Linked DNA regions of Bombyx mori. The main gene of each other region encodes a partner of the protein of the gene in region 2 in a complex. Links are inferred from orthologs where the notes say so. Each region holds a gene or a part of one and is shown on either strand. Other genes may lie near its edges.

What was found.
Region 1: DNA-directed RNA polymerases I, II, and III subunit RPABC1 (region 2) and general transcription and DNA repair factor IIH helicase subunit XPB share a complex: the UniProt entries of both Homo sapiens proteins name them as parts of the TBP-based Pol II pre-initiation complex. The link is inferred for Bombyx mori from reciprocal best matches to the Homo sapiens genes POLR2E and ERCC3.
Region 3: DNA-directed RNA polymerases I, II, and III subunit RPABC1 (region 2) and prefoldin beta subunit share a complex: the UniProt entries of both Homo sapiens proteins name them as parts of the PAQosome complex. The link is inferred for Bombyx mori from reciprocal best matches to the Homo sapiens genes POLR2E and PFDN6.

What each region holds. Positions count from the first base shown.
Region 1 is NC_085117.1:11,792,397-11,794,679, forward strand, and holds part of general transcription and DNA repair factor IIH helicase subunit XPB, read right to left. Parts: intron 1,133-2,283; coding exon 943-1,132; intron 350-942; coding exon 207-349; intron 1-206. UniProt on the Homo sapiens protein: ATP-dependent 3'-5' DNA helicase/translocase. Binds dsDNA rather than ssDNA, unzipping it in a translocase rather than classical helicase activity. Component of the general transcription and DNA repair factor IIH (TFIIH) core complex.
Region 2 is NC_085125.1:6,611,033-6,615,912, reverse strand, and holds the start of DNA-directed RNA polymerases I, II, and III subunit RPABC1, read right to left. Parts: upstream 3,276-4,880; 5' UTR 3,081-3,275; coding exon 3,024-3,080; intron 2,953-3,023; coding exon 2,864-2,952; intron 1,891-2,863; coding exon of another isoform or gene 1,813-1,890; exon of another isoform or gene 1,763-1,812; intron 1,508-1,762; coding exon 1,329-1,507; intron 460-1,328; coding exon 297-459; intron 1-296. Other genes in the region: piggyBac transposable element-derived protein 4-like, read left to right, coding at 4,022-4,029, 4,567-4,737; leptin receptor gene-related protein, read left to right, coding at 1,813-1,890. UniProt on the Homo sapiens protein: DNA-dependent RNA polymerase catalyzes the transcription of DNA into RNA using the four ribonucleoside triphosphates as substrates.
Region 3 is NC_085112.1:4,987,665-4,990,501, forward strand, and holds prefoldin beta subunit, read left to right. Parts: upstream 1-1,348; 5' UTR 1,349-1,479; coding exon 1,480-1,848; 3' UTR 1,849-2,337; downstream 2,338-2,837. UniProt on the Homo sapiens protein: Binds specifically to cytosolic chaperonin (c-CPN) and transfers target proteins to it. Binds to nascent polypeptide chain and promotes folding in an environment in which there are many competing pathways for nonnative proteins.

The sequences.
Region 1 (2,283 bases), on a different chromosome or scaffold from region 2:
TAAAACTTCGTTTATTAGTACTTAATACAGAGTAAACTTAACTTTTTTGAACTAAATTTGTTAGAGATTTAGCTGCATTTGTTATAACATGAAAACACTAAAGCATGTTCAACTAACTAAACAAGATAGAGCCATTGTTAATACATATTACGACATTAAGGCGTTTAGCTGCCTTTGATTTTATAGGCCTCATATATCATATTTACCTTATAACTGTAACCCTGATTAACAAGAAATCTTTGTCTTTTTCTACTGTAAGCCATCTCCAAGGTGTCTTGTGATACTAGAGTGTAGAAAAAGGCATTATATTCTTCGGCCAAAGCGCCTTTCTTTGCTCTTAAAATACGACCTGGAAATTACAAAGGAGACTAAATAAATGAGTGAATACTCTCGACTGCAAAGATGTTGACGCGTCAAACCTAAACTTTATTTAGTGCCAAAAAGAGCGAGAAAGATATATTTCTATTATTTTGGCCACATTTTACCACATTCCATTCAAGATCTAGAAAATTCTCTCGTCGCGCACAAAGCGATTTTACATTAATTATTCAATACTAGCGACCCGCCCTCGCTCCGCTTCGGAAACTGTAATTTATTATTGATTTCTCCACTATTTCATGGATGTTATTATACATATAAACCATCCTATTCAAATCACTCTATCTATTAAAAAAAAACGCATCAAAATCCGTTTCGTAGTTTTAAAGAATATAGGGACAGAGAAAGCGACTTTGTTTTATACTATGTAGTGATGATGAAGTTTTATTTTTTATTGCTTAAATGTGTGGACGAGCTCACAGCCCACCTGGTGTTAAGTGGTTACTGGAGCCCATAGACATCCACAACGTAAATGCGGCACCCACCTTGAGATATAAGTTCTAAGGTCTCAAATATAGTTACTACAAATATTATAATATAAATTTAGATCCATGTTAACTTTACCTAATCTCTGTGCCTCTTGTCGCCTGGAGCCTCCGTGCGAAGAGATCTGTATAAGCACGTTCGCTTCGGGCAGATCGAAGCTGGTGTCGGCGACTTTACTCACGAATATCGTATTCACTTTAGGGTTGAACTTGAAATTCTGGAGGATCTGTATTCGCTCGCTCTGGGACGTCGGCCCGTAGATGTATGGCTGCAACGCGGAGATTGTTTCATTACAAATTACACCCTACGTAATATTGCAAAGCAAAAGCACCATTCAAATTGTATGTTTCATTTATTAGTTTTGAACGATTTTTTTTAATATAATTTTTACACGGCGATTGGCGATTTCAGACATGACAACTTTTATTTTTACGAAAATTATTTATTTTATTTTATAGCGATTACAAAACTAGCTGACGCATATGGGTCAACGGTCCGTTAGATATGTTCGTGTTACATTGCGTGTTCGTGTTGTTACAGACGCGACAACGAAAGCCATTTCTTGACAAATATTGCAATTACATTACGTGACGTATATGTACTTTAATACGCATGAGCGATCGCGACAACTTTTTTTTTTTTTTTTTTTTCCTACTTATGCTGATAGCCTTGAGACGACAACGTTGGAGAATTAAACGTCTGAGTCTTGAATTCTCAAAAGCATGAGATATGATGTTAAGAGACAAGCAATTCAAAGTGAACTGGTAGATAGGTGTTGTAAGCACGCACTATTAGGTACTTTTTCTTTTTCCTACCTAAGCTGATACTGCTGCTAATTATAAGCTTTGAGAGGCTATGTCAGCGTAGCGTAACAAGTAAGTAGGTGGGCTCACGGGGCTCAAACCTGACGACGTTGCTAACATTAGCCCTAGCAAGAGCAGTGTTTCGCAGAATCTACCTCCGGATTGGAAACAAGACCCGCTGAAAAGATCCGACGAGAAACTCAATGAGATGTGTCTGTGGATTAATTTACTCGCCGAGCCCTTCGTCGCAAGTGACAGGTTCGACGACGACGACGACGTCATCATTTTAAAAACACTTTGGAAGTAGCCCTTATCCGTCATATGTATTTAATTGTGGATAAATGGAAAACATTGGAACGTTGTATATTCAACTTTTTTTCGTTTTTTATTATAGCTATTCTAGTAACCTCGAGTGGTATTCTAGTTTTACCGAACTAGTAGGTGAGCTTACGGGGCTTAAACCGGGAGTGTTGCACCGGATTGGAAACGAGATCTACTGAGAAGATCCGGCGAGAAACTCAGTGGGCTGTTTCTGTGGGTTATGATAGTCAATCCCGCAGCCAGTGTTGTTTGTTCCTTGTAGAGTTATCGCTACATAAACATATTGTCGTGGTCA
Region 2 (4,880 bases):
TCTCAGTATAGTTACAACGGCTGCCCCACCCTTCAAACCGAAACGCATTATTGCTTCACGGCAGAAATAGGCGGGGCGGTGGTACCTACCCGTGCGGACTCACAAGAGGTCCTACCACCAGTAGTAGCTCACGGCCCGTCTAGTTTTAAGTCGTTATCAGAGTCTATAGACAACCCAATGTCACCACTCATCTGAGACATGAGGTCAAATGATTTATTTCCGAAACTTAAATCTATCTTTGTTGTTTCTATCAATATTGCTATTTCTAGTTTCTAAACGTTGTCAGTAAAGGATACTATCTTGCCAAGAGTTCTTGCTTTTCATCCGGTGTCAGCACAATATGTTCCGGTACCAACTCGTGTTCGGTTATATTAATCAGTAGTTCCGATTCAAGGAACTGTTCTAGAATGTATTTGGGTGCCATATCAACCAGTGACTGTTTAGCTGATGGTGACATTCCTGAAAGTTACGAAAATATGAGTTTTATTTTGATTTTTTTTTCGAGAGATTTTTGGGATTCCTTGCTACTTAATTTATGTACATAGGTGAACCATCAAAACATTACTCTTCTCGATCAAAATTACCTTTATGGTTTATTCACAAATTGAAGATTTTCGTATTCTAATTTTGGAGTTTTGCAATGTATTAAATTTTTATGGTTCATCACTATGCAAATACGAGTTTTTTTTTTCATATCTCTGACTCATCAATTTCAAAGAAATTACTGTTAGTATTCCTCTTTGATATTGCGAAGATGGCTGCCATCATAATACAAAATTCCCTTTGAAAATAGCAGTTGTAGATTGCAGAGGTTTATTTTAGTTTTTGTAACCGGCTTACAAGCATACGACCAGCCTGATGGTGAGTGGTTTCCGTCGCTCATGGACAGCAGCAAGCCCACAGCCAAGTTGCTGCCTACCTCAGAGTAACACCTTCAAGCCACGTTTGAAGAATGACATATCATAGTGCTCAGGAAGTACTGTGGAGTAGATTTAATTCCAGAGCCGGATGGTATGTGGCAAAAAGATATCTGGAAACGCACTGACGATGAACGCATGGTTCCACATAGTATGGATGAACAGTGTGCAGATAAGGTTTTCATGCATTTAATAAATATATATCGATATATGTACACATTAGGAAGTGGCTAGTTATGAAAATACCACTAAAGCTATATTTATACATTGAGTTTCCAAAATACAATCAAAACCACAAAGTTTTACAATTAAGGAGTAAAAACCAAGACACTTATTTTGCTCTCTATTTGGAGAAAAATGTGCATTCTCGAGTACTATGTAGGATACTTTTGATTAGTTAATGATACATACCCGCCTGTACAACAACAATAGCCCTATGAATATTCTCTTCTTGCATTCTTGTACAATATGTCTTTATAGTTTTTATACCAATTTTAGCTTCATCAGGAAAGAAAACAAACATCTGATCCGTTGGATCATCATTATGAGCCACTAACACAATCAAATCACTTCTTGCTGGTCTTTTCTCACTAAAAAAATTAAAATGCTGTATTAATTTCTAGATTTCTTTATAAATCAACTCAAAGTTGATGATTTTCATATTAATTTCATCATTAACCCACAGATTTCTATTGTTGGCCATGAGTTGAATGATCTGGTAACATAAATTTCCAATTATTCACACAGTAACTACATAATCATTTACTATAGAGGTAGTATTTACATTATTCTCTTTGACAACAATCATTTTTATAAGTCAAAGTGACATTTCATTGTGAAATATTTCGATGCTAAATTACACACTTTCAAGAATTTTGAAAGGACAGCTGAAGAAATGGAAATGTTAGATAATAAATTTAAAAACAGTCTAGTACATCGCTCTCTATCTCAGACAGCTCAGTTATATTTTGGTAAGTCAATTTAGTACACAATAATTTTGGTAGAAAACACTCATTATATTGTGATTCCTTAAAAGTTTGCCGACTTGTGCTGACTTTTCAAATTATGAACATTTTATTAAAAGGCTGTTAATGTTCCAAAAAAGTTTTTGAGCAATGAAACTGATGAAAGAAACTGAAAGTAAATTTAAAGATGTTAATAGTGAGAACCTATTAAATTTGGAGATTCCAATAAGCTTCTAAGAAAGATAACAAGTGTTAAGACAAAAACGTTGAATTGCTCTGTAGCTGGATCTGAAACTTAGCAGTACTACAATACCCCTGAACCAAAATGATGGGTCAGTAGTGTTTACAAATCCATATTTGTGTTTTGATTTCATACAAGAGACCTCACTTGCAGCTACTCAGTACTTCAAACTGGATTCAAATTATTCTGACTTGAAATTAAACAACTTGTACAATACATATGTAGGGACAAATTAACAAATTATTAAAAGTTAATTTAATGTTTGGACCATTGAGGCTGATTTGTTAAATATAAAAATATAAAAATTCAAGCTACCTACAATTAGCTTTAAACTGAATAACCCTAACATTATACATATGGATTGACAATGGAAAGATCTAAACATATTTTATTTTTGACAATATAAAACGGTACAGTGCTATCCCACCATAAAAAAACATGTAGCAGATTCAATTATAGTGGACAACTTTAAAATTACAACAAAATATAACAGTGAAAAGAAAATAGAAACGGGGTCTGCAAACTCCACTGATCTTGCTGATTAGTATTAACCGTTGCCAGATCTTCAATCCAGACGCATAAATGTGTCACTGCATGATAGTTTATTTAATACTGTATACGCAAATTATAAAATTAATAAATTTTTTGATGGATGCATTGCTCGTAGCCCGAAGTCCGAATGCCTTTCTGGCTACACTAGAGCGTATCAGATTAATAAGGTTATAAGAACAATAGTATACCTTGGTTTATCGCCAAACTGCTCTTTAAATTGTTCTAAAGTTTGGTCCAATTCATCTTGCGTGACTAAATATCCTCGGTCATGGCACAACTGTAAATATTATGCCTCGGTTACTGTTAGAATCCAACCAACAAGATGAATAGCATCAAATATAACCTCACCTGCATTACAGTTTTACGTATACGCCAGAGTTTGTAAGTTTCTGCGTCATCATCCATGTTTTATAATCTACTTAAAACTGATAAATCCCTTTCCTACAAACGATAATTTCATTGATTCTCTTGTTATAGCTAGGTATTATTACCTGTAAATCCTGTAATCATAAGTGTATAATCTATGCCTGTAATGTTTTTAAAGAATATTGTTTCTTTTGACAGAATACAGATACGCAAAGGAATCACAGTCCATACAATAGATTTTTTTATAGCAAAAGCCATTCATGTCTATCTTTTGAAAAATAATTGATCTTGGAATGAAAATTAATAACTTAAAATATTATTAATTGATGAGATATATACAGCACCGTAGTTGTTAGATGAGATGAAATTAATGAACCTCTCATTAACTGTTCGGAATTTACTGACAATTTAATAAATGAAAGAATCCGAGAAACTGAATTCGGCCACTTTATTCTGTTTTCAGCCCCCTTTTTCTAAAAACTATACGGTTAATATCCATTTTAAATCTTTAAGCTTTGTTGTTTTATCCATATTCAAAGGCAGTATTCTTGGAATTATTCATTTTTAATATATTGTCATCATATTTACATAAAATGAATCATGGTCTGCAATATCCCTTCCTATGGCAGACGCCATCGGAAAAAATGTGCCATGGTGGCAGCCTCCCGCTCCGGTCATGATAAAATAAACGCTTAGCTGGCAGGCGACCGGAACGGTCAGTAATTTGATGCCGCTGTTTTCATTCGAAAAGCGCACTTTAAAACACGTTCTGCAGTGTTCTAACGCATACAACTGCTAGAACGTTAAACAAAGACAAAATATAGACGCTTTCTTAAGTAAACTTACATATGTTTTTAAGAAAAAAAACCTCATTGTTCCGGACTTGCTAACGCGGAGTAGTTGGAAGTGTTTGTGCGTCTATTTTCAAGTGTTTTTAAGTGGTTGACGACAGTATAACGAGATAAAGTTTTGAAAAAGCGATGGAAAGGTATGTAATAAGCATATTTCTTTGTTTTTGTACGTGTTTTGACACGCTTTTCGTGGTAAAACATTGATATCTAACACCTACTCAGGCTTAGCACACGCTCATGTCGGCCAAACAAACCATTCATTTAGCACCAAATATTGGTAGATTTGTGTAATTTATGGAAACAATGAAATAATTACTTAACTATTAACCTTTTCCAAATTGTAAATTTATTCAAATCTTTCATTAATTAGAGAAATATCGAATAAAATAACACGCGTCCCTCCACTGACCGGACCGGGACGATGACAGTTAGGTTATTTCGGGCAACGCGGCCATTTTGTTCGCTCGCTATCATAATATGGATAAGACTATTGGATCTACTTTTATATGGTGTTTGGTTTGCTTTGACAAATAATTTGGAAAACTTTTTTTTTATTTCTTTCTTTTTTTATTCTTTTGCACTTGCGCTTTATTTAAAACTAATTTGAATGTCTTTTTCCTGCACCCAGTTAACTGCATGTGGCTTATGTTGCGCTTTTGATTGGATTTTCATAGTGAGAGAAGTTTGCGGGTGAGGGGAGGCAGTGCAAGAGCAACAGGCGTGCGCACTCGCGGAGGTCGTTCGAGTGTTGCCACACGTGGTGGTTCACGAAAAGGAAGGGTACGAGGTAGAGGAAGGGGGTGCCCGCGGTCTTCTGTTGAACAGAGGCCGTCGGCAAGTTGCGCGTTAGTATTTTGTTTTTAATGGAACTTCAATTTTAAGTACTTGTTAGGGTTCCGTACCCAAACGGGACCCTATTACTAAGACTTCGCTGTCTGTCTGTCACTAGGCTGTATCTCAAGAACTGTGATAGCTAGAGAGTTGAATT
Region 3 (2,837 bases), on a different chromosome or scaffold from region 2:
TGATTTATACACGTTATTTAGTGTTTGAGCCATCATATATATTAAAGGTAAGTCTCAGTTGTTATTGGTTTTAATGTATTTGATAAAATAAAAATACATGTAAAAATCTGTTGTTTTTGGGGATATTGGGGACGTCTTAGGTACAAATAACAACGAAAAAGGGGTCAATTGGGATGAGAATACGTGAAATGGAAACGAGCTGAGTATAAATAGGTACAGGTTTGTAGGGTTGTCTATGTAGTTATAACAATATTTTTTAAATTTGTTGGTAAAAATCTTGTTTATTCATGATGTTTTTGTCTAGAACTTTTATTCAAAATTATCAATGTGTTATTTTATTGTTTGGTAAATACTTATATTATCAGTTACGTACTGTTTTCTATTTTTAGATAATGCCTCGCGTGTACGTATTAAAGAGTGCAAAGCCTTAAAAGAGATATGATCCCTTAATATTAAAAACAGCAATAGAAGCCTTTGAAATTGGGAATAAGTCTTTAGTTGAAATAGCTAAGCAATTTAATATAAGTAAGTCGATTTTGCACAGACATCTAACAAGAACAATGAAATGTCAAGGTGGACAAAAATGTCTAAGTAATACATAGTAAAATATTTAATATTTGTTCAGAGTGGGGGTATTCATCTGATTAATCCATGGAATAACCAACACACCTAATCTCTTAACCCAGATAAAAATATCAGCCCCTAAGTACTTACCAAGAACGAAAAAATATAAACCGTTTATAAGAAAGCTTACTCTCCTTTGGGACTACAATAATGTCCACGGTAGCATGGTCTCCGTCAATGTTCATTCGGAGTTGTCCGATTACGCTGAACTAATTTTAAGTGATGAAATAAATTTTTTTTAATTGTATCACAACTTACAGGACAAATCTGTCGCGGATCATTTCTCAAGTAAATATAAATTAATCATAAGTAAATAAATGTAATCAAGTTGATGATCACTTTGTTGGTGCAACTAAATAAATAAATAAATTAAAACCAAGTAGTGGCAGCCCTAGCAAATTTCTCATTTCGTCCCAATTAACCGCAATTTTCGGGTAAATAGGGATTACACCTATTTTTGCTTTTTTTGCTTAAACTGGAATGCTAGTTGCATAGTTTTAAATTGGACAACAAAGATGCCCCCAAGACTCAATCATTTCGATCCTGATATAGCATTATATACATCAACATCTACCTTAAAATTGGTCATAAAGTTGGAATTTGTCCCTAATCGCCCCATTTTACCGGTACGTAGTGACACTTGAAATTTTTTGTGTATTATCTATGGTTAATTTCAAAATCAATGTCAGACAAATGACAAAACCATAGAGAATACACACATAACCCATAGATTATACACTTAATATATTTGAGACATAACCTCAACTAAAATTTTTGAGCAGGTGAAAAAAAACGGAAAAGATTTCTGTATTAAACTGTTTATTTTCTATCAAATCATACCTTGACTGAAACACAATGGCGGAAGAAATACAAAAAAAGTTTCAAAAACAGCTCGAATTATTTCAAGGTGTTCAAAAAGACATAAAGAAAGCGGTCACTCAGAAACAACAATTAGACAGCCAGTTAAATGAAAATAAAGCAGTCAAAGAGGAACTAAAACTCTTAAGAAAAGATTCAGAGGTATACAAACTCATCGGACCCGTATTGGTGAAGCAAGATTTGGAAGAAGCCAGACAAAACGTCTCCAAACGTATGGAGTACATTAGCAAAGAAATCAAAAGAACAGATGATCACATATGTGCTTTAGAAAACAAACAAGAAGCACTGCAAGAAAACTTAAATAAACTTAGAAATGATCTTGGCAAACTAAAACTAAAAGCTTGAAAAATGTGTGAATTAAAAGTAAAATATTTCTATTCTTCTATTATGACTCACTTGTATGTTTAGAGAACTACTATTACAAATAAAAATATTACACATTAATAATTTAATGTATGTTTAGCTATGCAATAATCATGAAAAAACTGCTGTGTGGCATTACACTAAACTTACCTCTTCCTTTTGTTAACTCAATATAAAAATAAAAAATCTTACTGAAAGTAAGTTTTTATTTTACTGCCATTGCAGGCAGATGTTTGTGGCCCTCCTGATGTCACCATCACTCATAGACATCAGATATGCCAGGAGCACAGCCAAACTGCTGCCTATTATTTACTTATTATTTATTTTCAAAACTAAAATATTTTGTTACTTGTACATATTTATTTTTGTGTGTATAAGCTGAAAGTTTGCAAGGTAATTGACGGTATAATGAGTACCATTAGTTTTGAAACCAGATTCATCTTAGAATAATTGTTCGCTTCTATTACCAGTAGTTTTGTATATTAACCTAAAACCATATGACAATCTAAAAAAAATTGGGTAATTTTTTGTTTTTAAATACCTATTACAAATGTTATGTATTGCATTTGTATACAAATGGTCGGCATAATTTAAGCTGGCAGTGGAGAAAGTGCACAAATGTAATTTAATAAACTTATTCTAATTATGTTTCCAATGATTTATTCAATAATTAATACTGCTCATAAAGAATACAGGCATAAAAAAAATTGTGTCTTGAATCTCAACATAGTGCAACTTAATCACGTTCAAGATACTCATTCTCCTGCATTAAGCTACATAAAGCTAAAGGCATTGAAGTTACAATGTGTCACTATAAAAAAAATACACATTTATAAGCTTTTGTACCCAATTTAAGAATTATATTGTTCCTAATGAATCCCAAGAAACTGTAACTTTAGTATTAATAAAGTTTGTAACTTTCTAAAAAAAATACCTTTTCTTTTTATGCAGTCTACATTTCTTGAGTCACT